Linked DNA regions of Alligator mississippiensis. The protein of the gene in region 1 purifies or fractionates together with the protein of each later gene. This does not show direct contact. Links are inferred from orthologs where the notes say so. Each region holds a gene or a part of one and is shown in the gene's direction. Other genes may lie near its edges. The genes, in order: SLC12A2 and CLGN.

Region 1 (8,475 bases):
TTATCATGTCCTCCTGCACAAGTGTCTCTTTTCTAAACTGAATAGGCCTAGCCCAGGACTCAGCAACTTTTTAGGGCAGAGTGCCAAAAACACCTGAAACCTCAACTTGTTAGATGTTGGTGTGCCAGGGGCAGGGAGCAGGAGAGCTACAAAGGGCCCGATCCTTGTTGTGGAGCCCTCTTCTCCACCGTCCACCCTGAGGCATGTGTGCCAAGCAAAATGCCTTCATGTGCCATGCTCTGGCACCAGTGCCAGGGGTTGCTTACCCCTGGCCTACCCTCTTTAGTCTGTCATATGAAAGCCCCTCCATACCACTAATCCTCCTTGTTGCCCTTCTTTGGACCTTCTCTAGTACTCCAATATTCCTTTTGAGGTGTGAGGACCAGAACTGGGCACAGTATTCAAGGTATGGCTGCACCGTGGATTTATAAAGGGGCAAAATGATACTATCTGTTTTGGTTACTATTCCCTTCTTAATAATCCCTAACATTTTGTTTTGCCTTTTTGATGGCTGCTAAACATTGACCCGGTGTTTTTAGTGAATTGTCCACAATGACCCCAGATCTCTTTTCTGTGTAGTAACAGCTAATGTAGAGTCCATCATAGTGTAAGTATAGTTTGGGTTACTTTGCCCAGGTGCATCAATTTCTAATTATTTGCATTGAATTGCATCTGCCATTTCGTTGCTCATTTGTTCAATCATGCCAGCTTCTTTTGTAGTTCCTCACCATCCACCTTGGTGTTTACCACTTTGCTTAATTTGGTGTCATGAGCAAATTTCGCCACCACACTACTCACCCCCTTTTCCAGATCATTTATGAATATCTTAAACAGCACTGGTTCCAACAGAGACACCCCCCCCACCCCCCCCCCCCGCAGGAACCCCACTGTTTACTTCTTTCCATCCTGAAACCTGACCATTTACACTCACTCTTTGCTTTCTTTGAGCCAATTTCTAATCCACAAGTGGACATTCCCTGTAATCCTGTGATTTAAAGAGCCTCTGATGGGGGACCTTGTCAAAAGCTTTTTGGAAGTCCAAATATATTGTCAACTCGATTATCCCAATCCACTGCTTACTGACATCCTCAAAAAACTATAGTAAGTTGGTGAGGCATGATTTCCCTTTGAAAACGCCATGGTGATTTCTCCCCAGGAAGTCACGTTCATCCATGTGCTGAACAATTCTTTCTGTCATTATTTTTTCTACCAGTTTTCCAGGGACAGTAGTTAAGTTCACTGGCCTGTAGTTCCCTGTGTCCCCTCTGACACCTTTTATAAATATGGGATTCACGCTGGTAACCCTCCAGTCCTCTGGTACCAAGGTTGTTTTTAGTGGTAAATTGCACACAACAATTAGGAGTTCAGCAACTTCCGATCTGAGCTCCTTCAGGACCGCAAGGAGAATGCCATCAGGTCCTAGTGACTTGCTACTATTTAATTTATCAATATGCTCTATGACCTCATCTACTGAAACCTCAACTTGGGTCATCTCCATTAACTTGTATACTCAAATTCTTTCTTAGTTTGTCCTTTTACAGTTTTACATTTGCTTTGCCAGTGTTTATGCCCTTTCTTATCTTCCCCATGAGGATTTGACTTCCACTTTTTGAAAGAAGCCTTTTTTCTGCGTATTGCCTCTGCAACTATGCCAGAAAACCATACTGGCTTTCTTTTGCTTTGCTTTCCATTTCTTTGATTTGTAATATGAATTTGCTTTGTGCCTCCTATATGGTGTTCTTAAGCAGTTCCCATGCTGCCTGCAAGTTTTTCACTTCTTTAGGGGCCTCTTTTAACTTCCGGCTAAGTAGCTTCCTCATTTTGTTGTAGTCTCTTTTTAAAATTAAATGCCACTGTGGTAGGTTTTCTTGTCTCTCTTCTTACATGGCTGCCAAATCCAATTGCATTGTGGTCACTTTTGCCAAGCATCTCAGTAATACTTGCCTTTTGCACCAAATCCTGTGCACTACCTAGCACTAGCCCAAAAATTACCTTTTTCCTCTTTTAGGTTCCAGTACTAACTGTTCCAAGAAGCAGTCTTTTATAACATCAAGAAATTTGGTTTCTGCATCCTGGCCAGGTGTTAGACTGACCCAGTCTATTTGTCTAGTTGAAGCCCCCCATTATTACTGCATTTTCTGCTGTTGCAGCAGCTCAACTCCCTTAGCATTTCCAGCTCATTACTGCTGTCTTGGTCTGGGGGTCAGTAGTATACCCCTAGACATACTTTTTTTTCTATTTAAATCCAGGATTTCTATCCACAAAGATTCTATAGTCCCTCTCATATCGGGTGAAAAATCTAACCTATTTGATTTGATGCAGTCCTTGATGTAGAGTGCCACTTCCCTACCAGTATGACCTACTCTATGGTTCCTGTATAATCTGTATCCTGATATTACAGCATCCCATTGATTTTCCTCGTTCCATCATGTTTCAGAGATATCTGTTATGTCAATATCATTATTTACTGCTAAGCAGTCAAATTCCCCCACCTCTGATCTTAGACTTCTAGCATTAGTATACAATCACCTGTACTTTTTATTGTTGCCTGGCTGGTTACTTGTGTGTCGCCTTTTATTCCCTAAAGTTAACTTGTGCTTGTCTTCACCCTATTTCTTATCCCCACTTTTTATGGTGTTAACCCTGTAGCATGCGTCAGTCTGAATGCAGTTCTGCATCTGCCAGCTCTCCTCCCATGTTGAGTTTAAAAGCTGCTCTACCACCTCTTTAATGTTACTTGCCAGCAGTTTGGTACCATTTTGGCTCAGATGGAGACCATCCCTTCTGTACAGGCTCCCCCTGTTCTAAAAGGTCACCCAGTTCCCAATTAACCTAAACCCTTCTTCCCTGCACTGTTGTCTCAGTCATATATCGAGCCTCTGGAGCATTGCCTGTCTATCTGGTTCTGCATGTGGCACTGGAAGCATTTCAGAGAATGCTATCATAGTGGTCCTGGAGTTACACCACCTACCTAGCAGACTAAATTAAGCTTCCAGGACCTACCTGCTACCCTTACCTACATGGACCATGACCACTGGCTCTTCTCCAACCCTCCCTAGCAGTTTATCTACACATCTTGAGAGGTCTGTTACCTTTGCACCTGGCAGGTAAGTCACCATGCAATCCTCTTGGAGGTCACAAACCTGGTTATGTGCTTAATAACTGAATCCCCTACTACCAACTCCTGTCTCCTATCCTGTGGAGTTCCCTCCCTTGGAGGAATACCCGTGGTGCAAGAGGATGCTGTAACATCAGCTGGAAGGTGAGTCCCATCTAAGACAGTTTCTCTTCTTCCCAGCTTCATGCCCTCAATCCCTGATGCATTCATCTTCCTCAGCAGCATGGCACTTGCTACAGTGGAGGTGGGACTCCCCTGCAGGTGGGAAGGCTTGGCAGAGTGGACAGCTGCATGCAGCTGGGTCTAGCTTGGCAGGGGTTGTTGCAGCAAAGGTATGTCCCTGAAAGCTGCATTTATGAACCTCTCTGCCTCCTGTAGCTGCTCCAGTTATGCCACCCTAACCTGGAGAGAATGCACTTGCTCTCTCAGAGCCAGTCCTAGCACCAGGTGCGCACATATGGAACTTGCCCCCTGGCAAGTAATCATACACATTGCACCTGGTGCAATAAACTGGGTAGCCCCTGCCCTGCTGCTGGACTTCTACCTGCATACTTTTTAAAAGTGTTGCACTTAATTGCTTCAATATTTCTTTCCTTCCATGCGTGGGACAACGAGAAGGCTAATGATCAGCACGCAGTGATGCAGGGGAGGTGGAAGGGTAAGAAGTGGTACCTGCCTGGGAGGGTCAGGCAGATGAGGGAAGCCCAACAGATGCCCGGGATAGTTTGAGAGCTGCTGAAGGGGGACACTGGGAGTGTGCTGGAGTAAATGGAAAGAGCTGGTGTTATTATGACAAGGAAAGCAAGCAAGATAGGTAATCTTCAATGCTGACTCTAGGGTAGGCCTGGTGCACTCTTCTCCTTAGGTAGTTATCCCCAAATGTCTGCTATGTGCATGACACTCAGCTTTGTACGGACTCATCTCCTCTCCACTAATTTCTCCAGTTCCAATGGTTTTTCAGGCAACTTCTGAACAGCAAGTTTTAGGGCAGTGGTTCCCAACCTTTTTAGACTTGAGGCACCCCTCATTAGACTCAAGGCATCTATTAAAAAAAATGTATTCTAGTGCTTGCCTCCTTGCGGCGGGGGGGGGGATGGGCAGTGGAACAGCCAGGCAGGGACTGAGCCTGAGCCGGTGCTTTATTTCCTCACACCTCAGGGCACTCTTCAAAAGATCTTGCAGCACCTGTAAGGGCCCTAGCACCTTGGTTGAGAATCACTGGTTTAGGCTAGTGGTGCCCAACCTTTTCACTCTGTCCCAGATGCGCGGTGCCAGATTCTTCTGTGGCCTGGATCCAGCTGATGGGCCTGATCTGGCTGCGAGGCCCCATCCTTCATCCAGATGCCTGGGGGCAGGGAGAAGTGGCCCTAATTTGGACGCCTTGGGTGGAACAGCCCCAATCCTGACATGGAGCTGGGGTGGGGGGACCATCTTGGTCCTCCTACTGATGCTCAGGGTCGGGGTGGGATGAGGCAGGGCAGGGAAGGACAGCCTTGATCTGGACACACTGGATAGTGGAAGATGGACTGGCTCCCATCTGGACAAAGCAGCCCAGCTCCAATCTGGAGGTGGGGGGAGACAGGGAGTAGAAGGAGCAGTGTGGCCAGATCCAGATGTGGAAGGGGGGTTGGGGGATGAGGCCTGTTCCTGATCCCCCTTTGCTGCAACAACCCCTACCAAACTATACCCTGCTGCATGCAGCTGCCCCCTCTGCCAAGCTTTCCCACATGCAGGGGAGTCCGCTTGTCACAGATCTGGCCCGCGGGCCGGAGGGTCGGGTGCTCCCGGCTACATGGGGCCTGCTGGGTGGCAGTAAGAACCGGGGCGGGGCGGGGAGGGGCAAAGGCAAGCAGGGACAGGTGCCCCATCCCCGCCTCAGCCTCAACCGGCCCGAGGAGGCTCGCACCCAGCATCTCCTCACGAGCTCCCCATCCCTCCCCCCAGCCACGCGCGGTCCAGCTCCTCTCGCGAGATCTCGGGCCCCGAAGCACCCGGCAACTTTTCAAACGCGGCCAGCGGAGAAGGCAGGAGGCGGCGTCACCCCCCTCCCCGCGCCCCCCCGGCCCTGGGGCGGCCTGCGGGCTCCGCCCCTCCCCCAGCGAGGCGCGGCCGTTGCTGCAGCGCGGCGGGGCGGGGCGGGGCGGGAGCGGGAGGCGGGCGCGGCGGCGCGTTGCCCCGGCCCCGGCGCGGCGCCAGCCCCGGGCGCTGGTTGGCGGTTTAAAGCAGCCGGGCCGCGCGGGGCTCGCGAGCAGCAGCCGCAGCCACAGCCATGGAGGGCGAGCAGCCGGCGCCATCGCGGCACAAGGCGGCGGAGCAGCAGCACGATGAGGCGGCGGCGGGCGGCGACGCTCTGGGCCGGCCGCTGGCCCCGACCGCCAGCCAGAGCCGCTTCCAGGTGGACCTGGTGGCGGAGGGCGGCGGCGGGCGGGCGCCGGGCCGGGGCAGCGAGGACTCGGAGGCCAAGGGCCGGTTCCGGGTGAACTTCGTGGATCCGTCGGCCGAGAGCCCGGGGGAGCCCGAGGCGCCGGGCTACCCCAACGGCGGCGACACGGTGCGCAGCGAGGGCAGCCTGGTGTCGGGCGGCGCCGGCGGGGCCCCGCACTACTGCTACGACACGCACACCAACACCTACTACCTGCGCACCTTCGGCCACAACACCATGGACGCCGTACCCCGCATCGACCACTACCGCCACACGGCTGCCGAGCTGGGCGAGAAGCTCATCCGGCCCAGCCTGGCCGAGCTACACGACGAGCTGGACAAGGTGAGGCAGCCCCGGGGCCGGGGCGCTTGGCAGGCGCTTGCCTCCGCGTGGCGAGGCGGCGTGGGGCCGGCTGAGTGCATCCCTCATCCTGCCCTTCCCGGCTGCAAGGGACCAGCGGCGGCCTGTCCGGCCCCTCGTTTTCCTTGAGACAGAGAGATGCAGCCACTGCCGAGCCGGCAGAAGACTTGGCAGCTTCCCTGGGCATCATGTTCCTCGTCCTGCTGCTCTTGCGGCTTCATGCATCCCTAGCCCTCCCTTTCCAGGCTGGAAGAGACCTGCAGGGTCTTGTCCAGCCCGGTAGGCGCGCACTGCCTTTCCCCAAGGCAGAGAGATGCAGCCCCGGCTGAACTGGCAGATTTTGCAGGTTCCCTCTGCATCTTGTTCCTTTCCTGCTGCTCCTGCAGTTCCTGACCTGGGGAGGCAGGGGGGAGCTGTCATGGGGGCCGCAGACTCGGCTTCGTGCATCCCTCATCCTCCCTTTCCAGCTGGAAGGGACTTGCATGGTCTTGTCCAGCCTAGTAGGCACACACTGGCTTTTTCCCCAAGGCAGAGAGATGCAGCCGTTTCTGAACCGGCAGAAGATTTCACAGCTTCCCTCAGCATCTTGCTGCTTGTCCTACTGCTCTCACAGTTACCCAGTCTTGACAGGCACTTGGATCCACATGGGGAGGCAGGAGGGAGCTGTGATGGGGCTGGGTGCACAGACCGCAGCATTGTGCATCCCTCATCCTCCCCTTCCAGGCTGGAAGGGACCCACAGGGTCTTGTTCAGCCCCTTGCTTTCCCCAAGGCAGACAGATGCAGCTGCTACTGAACCGGCAGAAGATTTTGCAGGTTCCCTTGGCATCTTGTTCCTTGTTCTGCTGCTCTCACAGTTACCAAGGGGTTTTTTTTTTTTCTTTTCCCCCCTGAGATCGGATCTCAATACGCTTGTCTGTAGCTCAGTGCTGCTGCAGAGGGCAACATCCCTGAAATGAGTGGAGTTGCTGAGAGGGAATTGGGCTCAAATTTTGCATTGTATTATTAGCATTATATACACACGCAGGTGACTGGTGGTGGGGAGGTGCTCAGGAAGCGGGAAGGCTTGAGCAGGCAACTTCCTCTGGCCTGTCAGCCCTCCTCGCAAGGGTTCCTGCACCCCCCCTCCTGCCAGTGCTGCCCTACTGAGCTCTGGACTGCTCCTGGGAGGAGGGAGAAGGCTGCCTTGCTGTGGTCCATCTGTCCCTTGCTTGCCTCATTCCCATTCATCATTAAGCCCTTGGAGCTGTGTCGCTGCCAGCTTCCTCTGCTTTAGAGCAGCCGGCATGTTGGTGGCAAATGACGTTAAAAGGGTCATGCAGCATGCAGCTCTGCTTAACAGATGCTCTAATTCACATAGGAATTAAATTTGTTCTGGCTGTGATAGAGGTCAGAGCCAGTATACATTTATGGGGTCCCCCCGGTGCCTTTTTCTGGGCAAATGGATGCTTGGTGTATGGATCTGGTCTAGATGTTTCTTGGCTTTGGAAGCTAAGACTACTTTTGCTCTGGATCACAACTGCAACGTTAGCATTATGTATTGTTAAAATGCCTTGGATGGAGGGTAGTGGGGGAAGGAAGTCTTAGGTTTCTTAATCTCTTTTTCCATTCTTCAAGTGCCCTGTATTAGCAGCCGTCTTTCTAATAGTGAATTACTCGAGACGAAATAATGCTTTCCTTTGTACTGGTAATTGATTCATACCACATAGCTATAGCTATCTCTATTCTCTTTATCTATATATTTCTAATTGAATTCTTACCTGACTTCCTTTTAAGGCAGGGTTCTCCATTGCCTTAAGTTTAATGCCTCTTTGAGTTGTGATGCTAGTTCATTTAACCTGTATTGCTGATCAGTTTCTGAATTCTGCAGGTTTGTGCCCTTCACTGCAGACCTTTGCAGGAGTTGAGAACAACACGCAGGCAAGATTGTATGAGGCATAGGTCTGGTGGAAACTATTGCTGAAGTTTGAAAAATGTCAAGGCAAGAGAAGGCATGATATCCAGTAGTTCCTAGGAATGAAATCTTGATACACTTCCCTCACTCCTCCTCTCCTGTCTGCTGGCCCCCCCCCCCCCCCCCCAATTTCTCTACTTTTGGAATCCAGGTAAATTTTGCTATTGCCTTTAGGAGGCTGTGCTTTGGGGGGAAGGTGTCAAGATCTCAGCTTGACATGTTTCCTACCCATAGTGCTAAATGTTGGGTAGTTTATAACAGGTTTGAATGCGATTCCTGTTTTAACAAATGTAATGTTAAAACCTACAATTAAAGTCCATTTATATGGAAATACTTTGTGCTCCTTTGAAATGCTGTAGGTGTAATACATCAACTACATAAAAAATCCTTAAACTGTTTTTCATAATTGGTCTGTTTTAGTTTCTCCTGTCTTTCCTTACTACGTACATCATTCTTATAAGCTGATTATCTAGAAACAGTGAGACATTGATAATTTTCTTCTTTTTTGTGGCTTTCCATACATACTGAAATATAATGTGTGTGTTATTTTTTATTATATAACACACACGTGTGTGTGTGTGTGTGCGTGTGTGTGAGAAAATTAGCAACATCTCACTGTTTC
Region 2 (7,693 bases), on another chromosome or scaffold:
ACAATCTTTTGATAATGAGTAGTGACAGACATCTTTTCAATGCTCTGTTCAGTAATTCGGGGTCAATATGGATCCTCAGTTTATCTGAAGGGACTTTTTTTTCTTACCCACAGAATATATCAGTAGTATGTTTAGGTTGCGCATGGCATAGGGTACAGATACCTGATCTAGCTTCAAAAGTTAGCTCTGGAAGCAACCTACCTGCAACAGCACAGACCTCCACGTGGGCTAATTCACTCTGCTTCTTCACAGGGTGAAGGAGCCCTGGCTCTAGCATCCTCCTGATGCCTTGCCCTCCAGATGAGCTTGTCTGTGGTGGGCCGAGAAGCTCTGCTTCATTCCAGCACTTTGTGCAAGTGTTGGATCCTTGTTGTTATCCAGATTCAAGTTAACTGGCAAGTGTCACTTATTTTCTTCTAATAGTTAAATCTCTGTTCCTCAATTTAACAAGCTAGCTATCATTGGTGGGTTGCAAGACAACCTTTTTTTAGCAAACTCTAGGGCTCCAGTTCCTCATTTAAGGGACTGCTCTAGCACCTGCCCTTTAGTACACACCATACTGAGATTTCTGTCTGTAAGTGCTCCAGGCCTGTTAGCATCGCCTTGCCTTGCTTCCTGCCAGGATCCCTTGGTTTCTGGTCCTTGACACCAGACCCTGCTTTGTCTCTCCTGCATTCCAGTCTCTTGCTGTAGACTTGACTTGGCATCTGACTACAGACTTTGTCCATAGCCTGGTATCTCAAGCACACCTCTTGTTCTTGTCTTCTTTGTTAGATCCTGACTTCTGTGTAATGCTAGGACCTTTTGCTTTAGAAGCTGGGATGAACTACTGTAGCACATTATAATATTCTCATTCTTATTTTTCCCTAAAGGAGACCACAAAACCCGGTATCTTCACTTTTCCATATCTATTACCTTGCATGTTCAGCTCTGCCCACAAGTTTTATTCTAATGTGCATGCTTGTACAAGGGTTTTTGGCTTGAATACTAGGATTCTTGAATATCTGAATTCCCCAGCTACTTTATATTTGTTTTTCATTGCTGCTTTCAGTTCTTTTTAATCACACTTTCTTCTTTACTGTGAATTTTACTAAACTGATGATTTCCATCATGTTTCATGTACAGTGTTCTGGGTAATAACAGTCATACAACTAAATTGATTCATCATTAAAAACTATTTATAGACATGCAGGGTAGATGCATGTTCTGGTGTCTCCCCCAAAGTCTTCCCTCTTGGAATTTGTTGTTCTAGTTGAAGTTTTATGCAATTTGCTAGAGTTACATCATTACAATGGTTTTTACTGTTAACAGTTTTTATCAATTATTCTAATGGTCTTAAATAATTTTCTAAGTAGGTTTAAGGCTGGGAATTCCCTTAGTTTCACAAAATGTATCAAAAGCTTCATGAATATTAAGCAAGAAAATGAAATATAGTGTTAGAAATCAGTGTTGTCTGGGGTTATTGGTGTCGCTGTTGCTGTCATCCTCGTGGGTGTTATTGATATGTTCTCAGTATTGAAGTCTCAGGAACTGCAGTGTCTGCAAGTCACAGCCAGGAGATCTCAACACTAATCTTGCCTTAAAGAAAGACCACAGGCTTAGTTCGGTGGCAAAGATTTGGCCAGTTTTATTGTCTACAAGCACAGCCCTAACACATTTTGGCCTAACAAGTACATCAGACCAGGACCTAAGGCATTTGTACTTGTGACAAGGCACTCAGCACACCACCACACAGACTCCCCCCAGGCCACTACAAAATTCCTCTGCTTTCCAAATCTTTTTATACAATAAGCAAAACGAATTACATATTCCATCTGTATCTTGAATGTCTCCGGCTGTCCTGTTCTGTGGGCTTGGATTAACCTGTGCCTCAAGTGGTGTCACTTTGAGACTCTCAAAGAGCACTCAGCTAGAACTAGCGAGCCTCAAGGTGTAGAGGCCCACATGTCAAGTGTCCTGAGGATGGTCTCAAATGCAGTACGGTGATTCTCAACCAGGGGGCTGGGGCACCCAGGGGTGCTGTGAGGTCCTTTGAAGAGTGCTGCAAGGTGTGAGGTGATAAGATAAAATTGCAGGCTCAGATTCAGGCTCAGTCCCTACCTGGCTGCTCCCCTTCCTCCCCCCACCCAGTGCCCAGCCTGTCCCAGGAGGTAAGCACTGCACTCAACCAGTTCCTTTTTGAACTGGGGGCTGCTCAGTTCCCAAGCCTGATTGGGCGGGGGGGGAAGGGGAAGCCTCCAGTGTAGAAGGCCTGAGCCCCGCTGGTGTAAGGTGGAGCTTCCCCCAGGCAGCAGCCTGCAGCAGGGGGACTCATTGAAATCCTGAGGGCCAAGCAGGGAGCGATAGCGGGTCCAGCCCATTCATAGCCTAGATCAGGGGGTTTTGAATGTGAGGCTGCTCACAAACTTTTTATCACCCAGTGGGCCGGCCAGCCAGATTCAAAGACATCACAGGAAGTGGTATCATATCAGGAAGTGATGTCACGTGACCTTTGACACCAGTGAAGTTGCAGAGGTTGACATGGTGCTGGTTGATATGGCATGCGTGCCCAGGTTGACATGGTGCTGCAGGAGCCGCTTGGCTACAACCGGGTTGACCTGGTGCTGGAGAAGTCAGGGGCCAGGCCAGGGTTAACCTGGGGCCTGCCTGGCCTGCCAGTGCCATGCCTGGGTTGATATGGTGCTGCAGGACTGGCCTGGGCAGAACCGGGTCTGCACCGGCCAGGAAAAGCAGCATGCAGCTGAAGCCAGCTTCCCATGTGCTGCTGGGGACAGGATGTTGCACAAACGGCTAGTTTCATGCCCCTGGAGGCTTGTCCAATCCACCCCAGGAGAGAGTCACACACACAGGCTAGGTCCAATTTCAGATTTATTGTTTGCAAACAGATTGACCCAGGAGCTGAGCTCAAATCAGAGTCGACCACAAATTGTGTCTGCAACTTCTTTTTATAGCCAAGGTAAACAATAGATTTCAACGTATCGTGCAATTATTGGCAGACTTAGCATTACGTCTTGCATCGTATGTCTAGCAGTTACATGTTCTATGACGGTTTACATACATGTCTCATTTACATCTTAAATCCCCTCCCAGGGGCAGTTCTTAAGCTCCTCTGGTCATCCTTCGGTCAGGGTAAAATTTCTTAGCATCAACATTTTTCCCTGTCACTCTTCGCTTATCTCTTGTAAGGAGTTATTTATTGCATCCGTTCCTGGCTCCGTCTGCAGAATTTTAGTTCTATTCGTAAATCAATTGTTAGTCTACTTGTCTTAGTGATAAGTGTGGAAGAGAGAGTGAAAACATGCGGAGTGCATAAGCAATTACAAAAGCAAGGTGTATAGATTATGCTGTATTTTTACCACAAGGAGGAGGCCGGCCAGGTCTGCATCGGCCAGCAGAAGCGGTGGTGGAGCCGTGTGCCGCTCGGGACTGACCGGCGCAGGCTCGTCCCGTCCCGAGCAGTACACGGCTCCGCCACCGCTTCTGCTGGCCGATGCAGACCCGGCCGGGTTCCTCCAGTCCCCAGCAGCACGTGAGAAGCGGCCCCCTCAGGGCCTCGCGAGCTGGCGGCCGGGCCGGAGAGCAGCAGCGCGGTGGGGGGGGGGAAGAGCTCGTCGGGGGAGCAGGCGCCGCCTTGCTGTGGGGCAGGGCAGGGCAGGGCAGGGCAGCGGGGCTGGCTTGAAGCGGGCGGGTGACGAGGCAGGCGTGGGCCGGCAGTGGCAACGGCGGCTGCTTGGCCTCCGCATGGGGCGGATCCCCCCGGCCCCGCGGGGGTAAGCAGCTCCCTTCTCTTTGCTGCCGGCTGGGGCCGGCCCTGCCCGCCTCGCCGCGGCCCCGCCGCCGCCTCGGGCCAAATAAAATGGCTTGAACAAGCCTGGCCTAGAACTTGACTGAATCTCTGCGCTTGCAGAGACGCCGGCCCACAATTAGCTCGCTCAGCACGCCTCGCGTTCTGACAGCTGCGGACTGAGCCGCGATTGGCCGCGGCTAGACGCCACGCTGCCCTTTGATTGGCGCGAGTTCTCCCACCTCCCCGTGCGCCTGCGTTCCGATTCGCTCGGCCTGTCAGTGCCGGAGGCGGATTGGCTACGGCTTCGCCCTACCGAGTCGTCTGATTGGCTCGGGTGGGGAGGCGCGCGCGCGCCACAGAGAGTACCTGCTACTCGGCTGCAGCATCCCTCGGAGCTTTGGACAGGTGGCGCATGCGCGGTTCGCGCTGAGGAAAAGCAGCCGGGCTTTGCCAGTGAGCGGCTTGCGGGACTGGTTCGCCGGTAAATCCGCGCGGACCCGGGCTGAGGTGGGGGGAGGGGGCGCGACGCCGTGTGAAAGGGGCACGCGGGCAGAGGCAGGAGGACCACCCTCACGGGGACGTTTGCGTAGAGGCCTTAATCCCAGCGGGAGGCGGCCGCCCCTCCCTCTCCCCATTCCCCTTCGGCGGGGGTTACGTGGTGCGACCGTTGGGAGCCGTTGGAACGGGGTGGCCCAGAGCGTTGTGAGCCCGCCCCCCTGAAGCGGGGGCTGGTGTGCGGCACGGCCGTTGGGGCAGTTCGAACGCCGCGGCCCTGAGCGTTCTGAGCCCGCCCCCCCCCGCGGTGGGGGCTCGCGCAGGACCCGGCCCCCGCTTCCGCCCCCCGCCCCTATAGTGGGAAGAGCCTTCGCGCTCAGCAGTGACTAGCTACTTCTCGTGAGGGGCATAAGCAGGACCCCCCTAATTCCCGGCTGAGGAGCAGCTCTCGTGGGCTGGGGAGTGCAGAGGGTTAATTCGAGCCCATCGCTTCTCCTGTCCCCGCTGCTAAGCGATGAGATCAGATACAATCCGTCCCCCGGGGAGGGAGGAGGAGCCCTGGCTCTAGCATCCTCCTGATGCCTTGCCCTCCAGATGAGCTTGTCTGTGGTGGGCCCAGAAGCTCTGCTTCATTCCAGCACTTTGTGCGAGTGTTGGATCCTTGTTGTTATCCAGATTCAAGTTAACTCATGGTCCCCCAGCATCCTGGGGTGCTCTGCACCTCCCTCACAAACCCCACCTCACAGGGTGGGCGGGCTAGCATTGGCCTAAGCTGTCTGCTCCAGTGGAGCAGGGAGGCATGCTTTAGGCCCCCCCCCAGCCTGTGGCCTGGGACACTGCAGGCATGTGGATGCATTTCCAGAATCAAAAGTGAATGTCTGTTCACCTGCTTATCAGTTCAACCTACACAGCTTAGGCTAAGCCGCAAAGTTGAATTGATTCAGCCTCGGGCTTTTTGACTGTCTGTGCTTAGTTTGGGGGCTTCCGTGGTGCAGCTTTAGAAACCCAGTGACCAGAGCTGGCCTCATGAAGAGGGGCTGCCAGACCAGGCAGTGCTGAAGTAAAGCTCATGTTTTTTCTTGACAAGGAGCATAGTGTTTCACTCCATTCTTCATTGGAGATTGCAGCAAGAGAAGGTGAAGCACGTGTTTCTGCCACAGGCACTCAGAAAGGGAAATGCCAGTGAAGTAGCTGTTCCTGGGTATTAATTTGGGAACAAAGAGAAGGTGCCAGTGGATGGATGGAAGCTCAGGTGGAGTAAGAGTGAGCTGGTGCATAAGCCGAGACGGAAGGAGGAAGTGTGGATGTAGTCTGAAGGGCATTGTGTGTAACCCTGGGAGACCCCTAGAGAGTGGTCTTGTGGGCTTGGGAGTAGGCTGGAAGAGTTTTAGAGCTGTGAGCAAGAAGGCTCTGGTGGTTTGGATTTTTTTTTCCTGTGCTTGGAAAAGATTTGATTGCATTCTTGTAAATAGAAGTACATGAAAGAAACCTGATTCTGCTACCAATCACTACACCTCATTGGAATAATTAACAAGGCCCACATTTTGTTTAGCTGCTCAGCTAAAAAAGGACAATGCTAGCAGTCTTGTAAACTGAGGGTTGAAGGATACTAGGGTTTAATGGTATTTCTGTGCTGCTTTAACAGTGAGCATGGTCGCTGCCCTGTGTGCACCCAAGCCCACAAACTGTGTCACATACATGGCTCAGGAGTGGCCCTGAGCATATGCCATAGTGCCACACTTAGACCTTCTTAAAACAGCCTGAGTATGGTGCTGGGACTTGTGCTTAGGACTATTTCTGAGGCATCTGTGCTACGTAATTTATGGGCTTGCATGTATATATACTGGGCATAGGTAAGTATGGCTTATTTCTCACTGATACTCTTGGGATTGCTTTGGAGGTGGTATAGATGTATCCTAGGGACCCACTCTAGAGAAGAGAACTGTAGGAGTTGCCCTGCTTTCCATTAGAATTTGCTCTTATCTAGGTGAGATTAGTTCAGTCAAGTTGTCTGGATAGGTTCATAGTTTTCTCTTAAAGCTTTTGTTAGCCAGAGCAAGTTTACTGTAAGTATAAATGTAATCTAAAACAAAAATCCAAGTTTCACTTCCTGTTAGGTGGGTAAATAATGCGTCCAAAGCTGAAGTTAACCATAAAAATAATGTTTAGGGCTGCTTGTGTAGAATGTTAGGGCACCTATACATGTGCATTAAGGCTGCTCTGATGTGTTGTAATTACAGTGCGTTTGGGGCAGACTCGATTAATTGAGTCTGCTGAAGTGTGGTAATTACCGTGCTCCAGTAGACTCCAGCATCATGTGTATCAGTGTCCTCGCATGGAAAAATGGCAGTGGGGTGCTTTAACTAAAGCTTTAAGACAAGCTTTAGTTGAAGTGCCCTCACTGCCATTTTAAGCACAGAGATGCTGATGCATGTTGTGATCCGGGAGCTTTGATTAGAGCGGCTCTTGGAGCCATTCTAATTAAAGCACCCTGCCTCCTGGAGCATGTACTTTTCAGGGGTGTACTTTTTCCAGATCCTGACAAAGGGACTTTGATCCCAAAAGCTTGCAGAAAAGGACAGTTTTCTTTCCATTTTCCAGTTGGTCTAATAAAAGGTATCATTTTGGAACCAAGAGTTCTAGTTTTTTGTATGCCTTAGATCCTACTGTCCTCTCTACAACTCACTGTCCTTCTGAGTCTGCCCCGTGGTTTAACCACTTAGACCCATGACTGACGTTACTTTTGTCACGTGTTATGTACAGTATTGCACAACAAATTATAATGTGCCAGGTTTATCCTTGCATAAAATTGGTGAATCGGCAACAAAGAAGTTGGCTGTTGAAGCAGAAACATCTTGTGGTGCAGAAGTATCCTGCAATATTGTGTGGCCAGTTGGCATGTTATGATTTGTCATGCAACGTTTGCATACGATATGCAGCAAATATAACATCTGTAGGGGCTTTATGCTCTGTTCCAGTTCTGCTCAAACAGGATTATAGGCTTCCTCAATCAAAGTCTCTGGAAGGTAGTTGCAGATAAATTGCAACAAGCAACTGTTTGACAACTGAGGAGGGCCTGCCTTCTTTTTTAGTCCAGTAGCTTAGTGGTTCATGCACTTCTCAAGGGAGTAGGAGGCTCCAGTTCTTCTAGTTCTAGGCCCTTCTCAGTATCTTTAACATAACCACTAATCCATGGGCTAGGTAAAGCCAAGAGTGTCTGGCTCTGCGAGATGGACAGTATTGTGTAGGAAATGGTACTTTGTTCTGGCCCTCACTGCATATTTACAGGAAATAGATGTTGAATAAAATGCATAGAAAGCACTGGGAACAGGAGTAGCTTCCCTTCTCTTCCCTTCTTAGCTACCCAGACCCTCAATTATCAGGTTACACAAAAGTGAAACATAAAGAATC

What was found.
Region 2: the proteins of SLC12A2 (region 1) and CLGN purify together in Homo sapiens (co-immunoprecipitation; 3 studies listed by BioGRID and IntAct, with this or other methods). This does not show direct contact. The link is inferred for Alligator mississippiensis from reciprocal best matches to the Homo sapiens genes SLC12A2 and CLGN.

The regions. Positions count from the first base shown.
Region 1 is NC_081826.1:215,903,506-215,911,980, reverse strand, and holds the start of SLC12A2 (solute carrier family 12 member 2), read left to right. Parts: upstream 1-5,277; 5' UTR 5,278-5,387; coding exon 5,388-5,882; intron 5,883-8,475. UniProt on the Homo sapiens protein: Cation-chloride cotransporter which mediates the electroneutral transport of chloride, potassium and/or sodium ions across the membrane. Plays a vital role in the regulation of ionic balance and cell volume.
Region 2 is NC_081825.1:104,596,775-104,604,467, forward strand, and holds the start of CLGN (calmegin), read left to right. Parts: upstream 1-4,150; 5' UTR 4,151-4,240; exon of another isoform or gene 4,241-4,268; intron 4,269-7,693. UniProt on the Homo sapiens protein: Functions during spermatogenesis as a chaperone for a range of client proteins that are important for sperm adhesion onto the egg zona pellucida and for subsequent penetration of the zona pellucida.